Rattus norvegicus: one gene and its partners. The protein of the gene in region 2 interacts with the protein of the main gene of each other region in a pairwise test. Links are inferred from orthologs where the notes say so. Each region holds a gene or a part of one and is shown on either strand. Other genes may lie near its edges.

Region 1 (4,385 bases), on a different chromosome or scaffold from region 2:
AGTACAGCCAAGGCTACAAACATGCACGAGTGCATGCGCATGTGCGCACACGCACACACACACACTCATTGGAGAGAGAGAGAGAGAGAGAGAGAGAGAGAGAGAGAGAGAGAGCTCGGAAAGCAAGCCAGTAAGCAGCGCTCCTCCGTGGCCTCTGCATCAGTTGCTGACTCCAGGTTCCTGCCCTGCTTGAGTTCCTGTCCTGACTTCCTTTGATGATGGACTATGGTGTGGAAGCATGAGCCCAATTCCTCCCCAAGTTGCTTTGGTCATAGCATTGTTATCCTAACAACAGTAACCTTAACTAAAGACAGTGAGAGAATTTGTGTCAAAAAAGAACAAAAGCAAGGAACCAGGTGGTTGGCACCTAAGGAGCAGTGTATGAGGCTGACTTCTGGCCTCCATATGTCTGCATGCACACACAGGGCTTGGGGAGTGAGAGACAGCAATTAAAGCCATGCAAACACAAAAAAGGGTGTTGGTGATTGGTGATAACTTTCTTCTTATTTTATTCAACAAAAATGTATTATGCTGCTGGTTGTGGTGGTATACAGCTTTGAGCCCAACACTTAGGGGGCAGAGACAGGCAGATCTCAGTTAAAGACCAGCCAAGGCAGCATAGAAACACCCTGTCTCAAAAAGAAACGTACAACCAAAAAAAAAAGTGTGTGAGTCTTTGCTATGAGTCTTAGATTCCATGTGTGACCAAAGGTCAAGATGAAAGATCCAAAGAATCACTAGCCAGTATCGCTCCCAATACGAAAATCTCAGAAATTAGCGTTTGCCTCTTGCTTCTCCTCAGGCTGAAGGCCTCGGGTTTGCTAAATCATATTCGAAAGCCCTGACCCTGCAAGGGATAATTGTATTTTATTTTTAATTATGTGTATGTATATGTGTCTGCATGAGGACGTATGCACGGGAGGACGAGGTCAGAAGAGGGCACTGGGTCCCCTTGGAGCTGGAATCCAGGCAGTTGTGAGCCACACCATGTGGGGGCGGGCAACTGAGCAAGCTCCTGCAAGAGAGCCATGGGGCTTTAACCCCTGAACTGTTCCCTGGCCCATCAGCTTTTCTTCAGAATCCTATTAAAAGTGTCTGTCCAGGGGTTGGGGATTTAGCTCAGTGGTAGAGCGCTTGCCTAGGAAGCGCAAGGCCCTGGGTTCGATCCCCAGCTCCGAAAAAAAAAAAAAAGAACCAAAAAACAAAACAAAAAAACAAAAAAAAAAAAAGTGTCTGTCCACTGTGATCATGTGACCCAAGTTTGCGGGGAGGGGGGTTGGAAGGGGACGGGGTGGGGTGTATTCCTCTTGCTTTGTGTTAAATTGAGGTCCTCCAGCCCCTGGTACTCATTGTGTTTTTATTGCAAACATTGAAGATATTTCAGGGTCTTAGAGTGGGGGGTTGTTAAATTGGTCCCTAGGATAATGTGATCCTTGGAGGATCTAGGACAGCAGGGGAGTCCAAAAAGAGCAAAAGTTCCCAGCGTAGGCATTAGCGCCACCGCTGGCCCCAAGGCACAAGAGGAAGGGGCGGGGCCTCAACAGGTCGATGCCGGAAGTGCCTCTCCGCCCCTGCTACTGGACCATGGAGACCGTGGCCCAGTAGAGACCTTAGTGTGAGGCTTGCAGGGGTGGCAGCCATGGAGGCTGTGCTGAACGAGCTGGTGTCTGTGGAGGATCTGAAGGTAAGGTCTGGGCCGGAGGAAGGACGAGGGCAGAATCGGAAAGGGCAGTTCCTGAGGAGAGCTGACCGAAGCCGAACAGTGCCGGTTTCGTCTTTCTAGGAGAGCCGAACTACGACTCCCATCAGCCTCTGCGACATCCTGCCTCTTGTGGGAATCTGCGCCGTGTCCCTGAGCCTGATGGGAGTTGTAGTTTCCAGGGTTTCGGCAACTCAGACCTAGGCCTGGGGTCTTCGTGTGATGCAGAGCTGGGAATTTGGGGTACTCGTGCAAGGATGAAGTAGCATAGTCCCTGGTGTAAACTTTCGCTAGTGTTTAGTCCCTCAAGGTGCTATTTTTACCACATCCTTGTAGCTGTGTTTTCTTTCCTCTCCTAGAATTAAAGTAAGGCAGACCCAGGTCCGAAGAGTAGAGTAGGACGGGACTAGCAGCCTCAATTGAAAGGCCATGTAGGAGGTCATTTAGCTCTGGGACAATATGTTTACTCTTCAGCCACTTGAGGTCAGCTGGTTCGGTTGCCATGCCTGCAGCTTCCACCAGGTGGCATCTCCTCTTGGTACCACTAGGGGCTGGGTTCAGGGACCTTCTAAACATGAGCATGGGACACAGGGATGGAGATGACAGAAGTTAGACATCCGAGTACCAAGATCTACAAGGGAAAGGTGACAGATAGGAAAATGTGGTCTAACTGGGATTTAGACTCCAAGATAGCTAGAGAATGGTGGGTGGATGCCCATTGTTTCTAAATGATTGCTCTTCTCTCTGATGACAGAATTTTGAAAGGAAATTTCAGTCTGAGCAGGCAGCTGGCTCTGTGTCCAAGAGCACGCAGTTTGAATACGCCTGGTGCCTGGTTCGAAGCAAATACAATGACGACATCCGTAGAGGCATCGTGCTGCTGGAGGGTAAGGTGCTGGCTCCCCACTTGCAGCCACTAGCCAGTCTGCCCCCTACTGTCCTTGACCTCACCCCTCCAGGACCCTTTCTGTCATGGAACCCCCACCTTATAACACATTCATCCCTCAGTAACCACCAGAAAATCCACAGCAGCAAAAGGCCAGGCTGGCTCTCTACATCCCCAATTTCAGCATCTGAACATTGGTTCAGATGGGAAATGCTGTGAGAGAAAAATGTTCTCAGGCTGGGGAGATGACTCAGTGCATTCTGTCCAGGCATGGAGACCTGAGTTCAAATCCCCAGCACCCACAACAAAAGCTGAGTGTGGCTATAAGTGCCTGTGTAGGGAGTAGCACTGGAGTGAGCAAGAGAATGCTTAGTCAGACCCTTTCTCTGGGGGATGGTGTGGAGGGGGAAGCAAGAGGCCAGACGTCCTCTGGCCCCTGTGCTTCCATTTGCACACACGCAGTAAACAGAACAGCTCTGGCCTAGCTACTAGTTGCTGTTACTATGCATTTGTATTGTATTGGATAGCAGAAAGTTCTAGAGATTTAAAGTGGCTGAAGGGCTGGTGGCATCAAGGACATGTGATCCAAGCACTCCAAAGACGTAGGGACATAGTTCAGTAGTCATTGACTGGGGAGATGGAGGCAGGAAGATGAGAAGTTCAAGGCCATGTCAGCTACCTACTGACCAAATTTGAGGTCAGCCCGTGCTACACAAGCTTCCTCTCTCAAAAAAAAAAAAAAAAATCTTTGGGGAATACAAGTAGGTTCTGTGCAAACACTGTTTAATTGTAGAGATTATATTAGTTTTATGATGGGCCTTCCAGCTATAGACTTTGAATGGGGGAGCATTGGCATCACCCCAGAGGCTATCAAGGGACAATAGTAACAAAAGACTGCTCTATCCCTTAGTCATTTTTGATTTTGACCCAGGACTCTGCATCCTGCTTCAGCCACCTTACTGCTGGGAACTCAGGGGTGCCCCCAGCTCTGGCGTCTTTGTAAAAGCAAATGCTGGCCCCTGCTTTGATGAGTTAGGACTTAGGTTTCTCCTGTAGTAGAGCACAGCAGTGGAGGTGGCCTCAGAGCATTTGAGTCTTCTGTGGGGACACAGTGCAGACACTGAGGAGGCTGCAGCTCTGCACAGCTAGTGCCCAAGCCTGGACAGCATAGTGAGTCCCTGTCCTAACACACGGGGGCACACAGACACACATGGACACACACACACACATGGACACACACACACATATACACATACACACATATTGACACACAGAGGGGGCGGGAATGAGGGTCACTCAAGGAAGCTGAGCTAAGAGAAGGGGGCAAGTTGTGGACCTAGAGTGGAGGCATGAGCCTTTAATCCCAGCACTCTGGAGGCAGGGGCAGGAGATCTCCGTGTTCAAGGTCAGCCTGGTCTGCAGAGTGAGCTGCAGGACTACACAGTGAATCCCTGTCTCAAAAACAAAACAAGAGCTCAGTCTGTAGCATACCTGTCTGCTGTGTATGAAACCCTGGTTTGATTCCCTTCCCAGCACTGCATAAGCCAGCCGTGGTCCTGTACCACTCAGAAGGCAGCGGCAGGAGGAGCAGAAACTCAGGTCATCCTCAGCAAGACAATGAACTAAAAGAGGGACTGTGAATGCCAGGCAGGAGGTGGCCTTGCAGTGGGACCTGTAGCTGACCAGTGGAACGCACCCGTCCATGCAGACCTCGGTGCTGGTTCCTGCCTTCCACCGCAGCTGTCTGACAGGCTCATGCTGCCCTTGGTTTGTGACTAGAAAGCTGGGGTGATAGGAACT
Region 2 (4,339 bases):
TTACATAGGTGTGTTGGATGGCAGCTAACCTTCCCAATGAAATTCTCTCCACAGCTTTTCTGCCAATAGGCATTCACCTTCTGTGTGGACATCTCCACAGGACACGTGTCCAGCACTTAAAAGCCAGAGTTTTCTTATTTTTATGTGTATAGGTGTTTTGCCTGCATGTCTGTATAATGTATATGTATAATGTGTGTGCCTGGTGCCCACACAGGCTAGAGGACAATGACAGATCTCCTGGGACTGAAGTTACAGATAATTGTGAGCTGCCATGTGGGTGCTGGGACTGGAACTCACGCCCCACGGAAGAGCAGAAAGTGCTCTAAACCACTAAGCCATCTTTACAGCTGCCAATTAATTTAAAAAGTTCCTCCTAAGCTAGGTGTGGTTGTACATGCCTGTAATATCGGCACTTGGGAGGAAGAGGAAGGAGGTCAGGATTTCAAGACCATCCTTGGTTAGGGTAGTTTTCAGGACAGACTGAGTGAACTACAGAAGACTATGTCTCAGAACTAACAACTACCACCATCCTTATCCTAAACCCACATCAATCTTCTAGTTTCCACCCATTGGATTTTCCTAGGCTCTCTAGAATGATATAGAACATCTTTATCTTAAGTACTTTAAACTCTTTTTTTTTCAGAAATTAAAACTGAATAAAGTTAACTCTCATAGTCTCTGATAATGCTTGTCAAACCTGGACAGTAGCCAGGAGTGATGTCATACACTTGTAATCTGGTCCTAGGAAGCTAGAAGCAGGAGAACCAGGAATTCAAAGGCATTCTTTACCTACGACACAGTGTGAGGCCAGCCCAGCCTGGGCTTACAAGACCCTGCCTTACAAACCAGGGCTGGAGGGCGTAGCCAGTGGTAGAGCACTTGGTGAGTATTCCAGAGGTGCTATATTCCAATCCCAGGGGTAGGAGAATTATGGTATGCTTTGGCCAGTGTAAAGGAGGACAAGACAGTTACTGTCCTAGGGACGGAGCCACTATTGATAATTCCAAAACTCCATTTTCTTTCCTATTAACTACTATACTGCTCATTCATCTCGTAATGGCAGGAGAGGGATAGGAGAGGGTTTATCATGTGGGCCAGGCTTGCTTAAACTCAACATGAAGCGAAGTCTGGCCTTTAACTCCTGATCCACCTGTCCCAAATAAGTCAGTACATACATAACAAAAGAAGTAAGACAATAAAAGGGGCACAAAAACTAGATGCAGTATGCTTTCACTTGGGAAGTGACCTTGAGCGTGGGAGGACCTTCCTGCCTCTGCCTCTAGGGTTATGGCAGTGTGAGCCCCTCAAGTCCAGCTTTGTTACAACTTTGTTACAGCTTTGTAACAACTATTGTTGTTAGACTGCTTCAGCCTCTCCAGCATATCTACTCTACCACTGAGCAAAAGGCGAAGTCCCAAGATAGCAACGAAATCTGTCAAGGCCATCATTTGAAGGCCCTTTCAAGGCTCTGTTCTAAAGTTACTCTACATTTAAAAAATTATCTTGGGGCTGGGGATTTAGCTCAGTGGTAGAGTGCTTACCTAGGAAGCGCAAGGCCCTGGGTTCGGTCCCCAGCTCCGAAAAAAAGAACAAAAAAAAAAAATTATCTTTTGTACATGGGGGTCTCTCCTTCCATCACGTGGGTCCTGGGAGTTAAGCAAGGCCTTTTCCTACAAAGCCATACACTGATAATTTTGAAAGGAACGCCAAAATGTATATCAGCGCCACAAGACCAGGATCTACCCTGGTATCTGCTCGTCCCAGGTTCCCACTATCAGCTTCCATTCTGACCTCAGTCCTTTTGTAAGTGATCGATATGAAATAAACTGAGTTTGCCTACTTGGGTTATACAATCCCCCTCCAGCTTTTGCTCTACTACCAGAAGCCTTACCTTAGTGAGAGGAAGTGTTGAGGGCAGAGTGAGCCCCTCCTTCTCCAAAAGCCTTTTCTCTTCCTCCGTCAGTATCAGTGTAGAAAGTTCCTAAGGTTGGAGGAAGAGAGCAGAGTTGCATGGTGATGTCAGAGCAGTATGGGGGATTCTTGGCCGCTGCAAAGTGAGGTAATCCTGAAACACCAAGCCCAGTACCTGCTCTGCTGCTGTCTCCTCCACACGCAATGGATTCATGCGGAACCCCTCCTTTTCAAAGCTCCCAGGATCTGCAAAAGCGAAAGTAGGGCTAGCAAGTTCAGTGAGCTCTCTCTTTCCCCATAACTTAACATTTCACACTCACCTAGATCTATGGAGACGTGCTCCTGTGGAAGGGAATAGTTGTGATCATGGAGAATAGAAGAACTAGAAGAGTTGAGAACATCCGGCGATGACGAGGGACTGAGCAGAGAGCTCAGTAAATCCTCTACCTCCCAGTCGCTCAATTCTTGCACGGAGTTCTAACAAAATCAAAGGCCTTGTTTTATCTCTGTACCTTGGGTCTCAGGGACATCGCTAGCTTCCCCACTCAGAACACCCACCCACCTCGGAAGGCGACAGCTCCAAGTCCAGGGGAGTCTCTATGTCCTGCTCAGTCGCAGCCCACAAATCTCCACTTTCCTCTAGCAGGAAGCCCAGCAGGTCCTGATCACCAGGATCCAAAGCTAGCAGGTCCTGATCACCAGGATCCAAAGCTAGCAGGTCCTGACCACCAGGATCCATTTGGAATATTTATGGATAGAAACTCCTCTGCGCAGATCCAATCTCCGAACCTTAGGCACGACCCCTCAGTCTGTCAAGTCGCATCGACTTAACCTTAGTCACTCCCGGACCAGGGCCTAGCTGTTACTCTATATGCCACACCCGCCTCTCAGCTTCTATTCCCCTCAGCGTCCAACATAACGGAAGTGATGCACATAGTCCCGTGGAATCCTGGGACTTGGAGTTCCCTCCAACTCGGAAGTGGCTTGTGTAGTGCGCCACGTCCCAGGGGCTATGCAAATTATGGGGATGTCCCTTCAGCTTCCCACGCCCCAGGGCGGGGATTCTGAGGATCCGGATCCGCCTTCGCCGCGAGCTATTAAAAAAACCCTAAGAGTCTAAAAGGGAACTCCCGTTTAGTTCGGGCGTTCTCTCCAGTGCTCTGCACCCTCGCTTCCTGCCGGGGAGGGGCGGCCAGGCTTCGCGGGAGCCCGAGCATCGAGAGCTGCGGCCAGAGCAGCTTCCTGCAGTCTCTGCGACCATAGAGCGGACCGCCGGCGGGTGGGGGACGTTTCCAGGACGGAAGTGGACGAGAGTGTGTCGAAGGGAGGGCGAGGCCGGAGCCCCAAAGCGACCGGGAGAACGAGCGGGTAGCGGGCCCAGGGCGGGGCGCAGAGCTGGGCAGCGCAGGTAGGCCGGACGGGCTGGGCTGAGGTTCTAGGTGGGGCTGCGGGATCAGGCCGGCCCGGGAAGCGGCGGGCGGGGCCCCCAATCCTCTTGCATATCCTGTGTCCGGTTGGGGAGGTCAGGGTACAGTACGTTTCAGTTTAGGTTTGAAATTAAGCCAGCCGTGTTGCGAGAGACAGGCCCTTTTCGCGGGAGTAGACAGTTCTCTGTCTCGGATAGTTTTTGGGACGGGTAGAAATGGGGTGGCAGTGAGGCATTGGGCGGGGATGGGCTTTGGTGTTAGCCGATAGTGAGTATGTGGTTAGGAAAACTTTGGGTGAGTTTGAGTTAGGTGCGTCGGGTTTAGGAAGCAAGGATCCCATTAGAAGTTAAGAAGCTGGACTACATTTTAAACATGCATGAGTCAAGTCTCTTTCGTGTTTGTGACATTTAAACTGAGGTCATTATTTTCTGGAATGACCAGCATAAGTCAGTGTACAGGATCGGGTTAAGGATCAACAACAGGAATTGGCTTAGAAGCTCGTTTCAGGGATTAAAGGCCATTGTCATGGTCAGTATTAAGAATAAACAGTGAGAAGGTGAATTAAGAATCAAGGTAGAAATGAGCTTTAGGACTGGGGAGAGGGGCAGTATTTAGGGTTAAAGTTAGGGGATTTGGGCCTAAAAATAAAAGCCAGATTAGTATGGTTGTGTGCTAGGAAAGGGGTAAGTGTCAAAATATAGGGAATTAGGATACAAAATAAAGTCAGGATTAATGTTAGGAATTAGTGATAGCATCAGAGTCAAGGCTGCAGCTACAGCTGAACAGGTAAAATGTAAGAAGTTGGGCAGCAAGTAGCTGCCTTTGTTTTGTAGTGAGCTCTCTTATTCCTGTGTGATCACAGAGGCTCCTTTTATCCAAAGAGATGACAGAGCTCTGGATGTCAGCTAGAACTGCCAGCATCTGGGACTCCACTTTCTTTACTCTCCTGCCTAAGCCCAAGACTTCCAGGGGCCACCATCACTGGGAGACAGGGTTTCTGG
Region 3 (4,046 bases), on a different chromosome or scaffold from region 2:
CTGGGGATCAGAAAGGCTGAGGAGCTAATTGCTCAAGGCCACATAAGTGGCGAATGACAGAGGAGTTGCGATTCCCAGATTTTCTAGACTCCAGTGGATGGTCTCTGCACTGGGCACTGTTTGATGTTTTACAGAGATGTGTAAGAACTCACTGGAGAACGTGGCAGGTAAGAGGCACCCCGGCAAAGGCAGCAGCACCTTAAAGGTCTTATGTATTTATACAGCGAAGAAGCACACTGGAGAACTTAAAAGATGATATGTGGATTCTCCCTGCAGTATTCCCACTCTCGAGTCTCGGAGGGAGGAGGAGGTAACACGATTTAGTAGATGTTTTTGAAGTTCCTCTGTGGTTTCCTTTCCCTTTTTTGGGAAGCAGGGACAGTAGTGGGAACTGAACCCAAAAGCCTTGCATATAAGCTAGGCAAGCATTCTCTCACTGAGCTACATCTCAGTGCTTTTTCTGAACCAATTTACTCTTAACATAGGCGTTCCAGATATCCCCAGCAACCAGCGTGCAAGGTGAGCAAATTTCTGTCCTGTCTGGAAGATCCCTCGACTTCATATGCATTCTGCTCCATAGCCTCAGTAGTGCTGCAGACTGATTAAAGAAAAGCATTTATGGAACACAACAGTATTGATTCTCACCATTTGTTATCCGTTCTCAGGCATTGTCCAAGTCATACCTCCCGAGCCATTTCCCCTAGGAATTACGTAGGAATTCCTGCTTTTATGAATACGCTGCTACAGCCTGTTGCACACTGATTTGTTCCACTTAGCATGGGGAAAAAAATCTATATTTATAATTAATTAATTAATTAATTAATTAATTAATTAATAGATCTGCGGTGTACACTCAACCACCGGCGGATTAACTTCAGCATCCATGGATAAGTCTGCAAAAGGCCTGCTTTCTTCCAGGCCCTGGCACAATGTGGTGCTGGGCGCTGGAAAGAATCCATGGAGGCCGGGAGCGCAGCCAGCTTTGGAGTTAGGTATCGCCGGTCTGACCTCACCCCAACTCTCCGGCCCCGCCCCAGGTGACCCCTAGGATCTCACCCAGGGGGCGTGGCTGGCGCGGGGCATGCCGGGCGGGCAGGTGGGCAGGTGTCTGGGCGGGGCGTGTCGTGGTTGGCGGCGGGCGGAGGGGCGGAGGGGCGGTGGCTGGTCACCCGGAAGAGTGGTCGGCAGAGCGAACGCCGAAGGCGGCGGTCCGAGCCTTGACATGGACAAGCTGAAGAAGGTGCTGAGCGGCCAGGACACCGAGGACCGCAGCGGTCTGTCCGAGGTGAGTGCAGCCGGGGAAGTTGGCATTTCTTGGAAAGCTGTCCTGCTCTCCTCCCGCCCGCGGCGCCGAGCTCTGCTGGGACACAGCCACAGGTGGCAGCGCGGGGCTCTTTGTGGAAGGCGTGGCTCCCGAACCCTCCCCAACATTCCCTCCGAAGGGCTTGGGGCTCTGAAGACCTCAGAAGTCTGTGGAGTGGGAGTGTGGGCCCCGGGGCCTCCGGACTCCCCCTCCCCCCCCCCCCGACTGGCCAGGGAAAGCCCTTAGGAGTTGGGCGAGGCCGGCGGCCTTGGTGGAAGGATCCGCGGTCGGATCGCGGACTGGTTTAGGTTGTGGGGTGTGAGATACAGACCTTATGCATACTGCTTTGTAATTTGTAAAACTCTGAACGCCTGACAACAGGGACCTACTTGGTCTTTGAGTCTCCAAGGTTACTTCCTAGACTATAGATTCCCAGCGAGACCGGAGATCGCCAGTGTGTTTGTTTTATTAGTAGAGCTTTGATGGCTCTGAAACTTGCCCACTAAGGCCCCGTGCTCCAGAGCGACTCAGAAAGTCATATTTTAGGTGCTTTGGAAGTTGGTTTACATTTCCTTCCTTGAAGACAGAATTGCGTTTTACTTAATGTACCTTTAGTCCCCGTTTCCCCTTCTGAGAAAGAAGGTTGTTGAACAAGATGCTATAACCCTTTCCCCTTGGAAATTGGAGTTCCTCTTTAATGCTTACTTGTTTTTTTGTGATTTTCCCAACATTTCTGCTTTCACTCACTTCTATGTTGATTTTGTTTTTGTGTTTGCAAAAACACAACTACACCTCAAAGGGAATAAGAAATTAATTTGAAGCAAAATAGGAGTCACCATGGCCCCAGGACAGATTCAGGTTACTGCAAATTCAGTGTTCCAACATGATAACAATTTGATAAGTTCTGAGAGTAATAGAACAAAGTAATAACTTAAGGTTCTTTTCAGACGCATCAGTGGAAGCATAAACAGGCAGTTAAGGCAGCGTGGAGGAATCTCAGCTGTAGCTCGGAGAGGCTGGTTGATGGCATTCTAAAACCTTATTAAGTTAATAAATTCCAAGGTTTTTTCTCCCTAGTAGTTACAGGTAGGTTAGTCACTGTTACATCAACACAGGTAGGCAAGAAATGACTGCGGGGGGGTGGAGGTGGGGGTGGGGGGAGGAGGGGGGTTGAGAGTTGGGGGTGGGGTTGGGGGGTGGGGCTAACCATAGCACAAGATTAGTTGCAGTTAGGCTCTGGAGCTGCAACTTCCCAACCTCTGCATGATCATTAAAATTCAAATCAGTGGGCTGGGGATTTAGCTCAGTGGTAGAGCGCTTACCTAGGAAGCGCAAGGCCCTGGGTTCGGTCCCCAGCTCCGAAAAAAAAAAAAAAAAAAAAGAACCAAAAAAAAAAAAAATTCAAATCAGTGATTTTCATGTTTTAATTTTTTTTTTTTAAATTCTGGCTTCTCGTGAACTTTCATATGAAATGAAGCCAAAGAATGTTCCAAGACTTTAGTTGACCCTCTTATCACGTAAAGATAAGCTCTGTAGAAGTTACACACTGTGGTAGTCTTAGGGGAGACTGGTGGAGGGTGCAGTGTTGCCTGTGAGGTGGTGTTCACCTGTAGCAGTGGGCTGGCTTTCAGGAGTGAATAGTGTAGCCCCATTTGAAAACAAATCGCCTAGTGGTCCCTCCCCATTCACCCCCTTTTTCCTAAATGGTGAATGCCTGTGTTGGATACAGTGAAGGGCTTTGATCTCCACTTAAACTCAGGCATATGTTACACCTATTTTTAAAAGATTGTGGCTTCACTCGTTTGGAAATATTCTCAGTTTCCTCTTTCCTAGTAAGATTCCTGTTGATTGTGTCATCCTGTGGCCATTTCCAGGTCTTGAGCCCCAGGAAATGTTCTGTAGCCAATAGGGTTCCCATGGTTTTGAGCCTGGAAAAACTGAAGGATTCTGTGGTTAAATTCCTGTTTGTGTGGTTAGCTGGATGGGGTTGCTTTCAAGGCTCTTCAGTTCTGTAACCTGTAAGAGGTTATCAGAAAAGTTAAAAAATTTTTTCTAATTTATTTTAATGCCAATAGAAAAGTATGGCCGGTTGTGGTGGCGCACGCCGGTAGGATTTGCTGAAGGAGGCAGAGGCAGGAGGATCACGAGTTCGAGGCCAGCCTGGGCTACACATTTTGGGGCTGGGGATTTAGCTCAGTGGTAGAGCGCTTGCCTAGCAAGCACAAGGCCCTGGGTTCGGTCCCCAGCTCCGAAAAAAAAAAAAAAAGAAAAAAGAAAAAAGAAAAGTATGAAAACTTCTGTCTCCTGTCCCTCCTAGGTAGCTGTAAAGTGGCAGGACCCACACACACAAACAGCCTTATGACATGAGTCTTTGAATTAACACCCGCCGTCATAATCACACTTAAGTCCTGGTTTCAGTGGAGTCCTTTCTGAAAGAACAGGCTTTCTGTTTTCTGGGCGGGGTTCTCGGGACAAGGAAGGCCTGAAGGATGCCTAATCATACCTCACAGGCGTAAAACAGCATTCCTTTCTTACCGGTTGCCAGGCTCAGCTCCCTGGACCGCCCTTAGCTAGAGCTCTTGGCAGCAGCCTCTCTTCTTCTCCATCCTGGAGTCAAAGGCACCTTTGTGCGTGACAGCCAGTCAGACAGCTTGGGAGCACACCCCCTACACATTCTATCTAGGTACCGCTCTAGCCGTTTTGAGCTTTGCAAAAAGCTCCGTTCTGGCAGGGTTTCCAGAAA

Evidence for each region. The genes of interacting proteins can lie anywhere in the genome.
Region 1: the proteins of Creb3 (region 2) and Fis1 interact in a two-hybrid assay, tested with the Homo sapiens proteins (2 studies listed by BioGRID and IntAct). The two-hybrid records come from large-scale screens. The link is inferred for Rattus norvegicus from reciprocal best matches to the Homo sapiens genes CREB3 and FIS1.
Region 3: the proteins of Creb3 (region 2) and Sft2d2 interact in a two-hybrid assay, tested with the Homo sapiens proteins (2 studies listed by BioGRID and IntAct). The two-hybrid records come from large-scale screens. The link is inferred for Rattus norvegicus from reciprocal best matches to the Homo sapiens genes CREB3 and SFT2D2.

What each region holds. Positions count from the first base shown.
Region 1 is NC_086030.1:25,346,498-25,350,882, reverse strand, and holds the start of Fis1 (mitochondrial fission 1 protein), read left to right. Parts: upstream 1-1,550; 5' UTR 1,551-1,639; coding exon 1,640-1,684; intron 1,685-2,453; coding exon 2,454-2,586; intron 2,587-4,385. UniProt on the Homo sapiens protein: Involved in the fragmentation of the mitochondrial network and its perinuclear clustering. Plays a minor role in the recruitment and association of the fission mediator dynamin-related protein 1 (DNM1L) to the mitochondrial surface and mitochondrial fission.
Region 2 is NC_086023.1:62,612,120-62,616,458, reverse strand, and holds the start of Creb3 (cyclic AMP-responsive element-binding protein 3), read right to left. Parts: upstream 2,808-4,339; 5' UTR 2,651-2,807; coding exon 2,474-2,650; intron 2,389-2,473; coding exon 2,232-2,388; intron 2,158-2,231; coding exon 2,087-2,157; intron 1,982-2,086; coding exon 1,892-1,981; intron 1-1,891. UniProt on the Homo sapiens protein: Endoplasmic reticulum (ER)-bound sequence-specific transcription factor that directly binds DNA and activates transcription. Plays a role in the unfolded protein response (UPR), promoting cell survival versus ER stress-induced apoptotic cell death.
Region 3 is NC_086031.1:80,034,310-80,038,355, reverse strand, and holds the start of Sft2d2 (vesicle transport protein SFT2B), read left to right. Parts: upstream 1-1,211; 5' UTR 1,212-1,222; coding exon 1,223-1,285; intron 1,286-4,046. UniProt on the Homo sapiens protein: May be involved in fusion of retrograde transport vesicles derived from an endocytic compartment with the Golgi complex.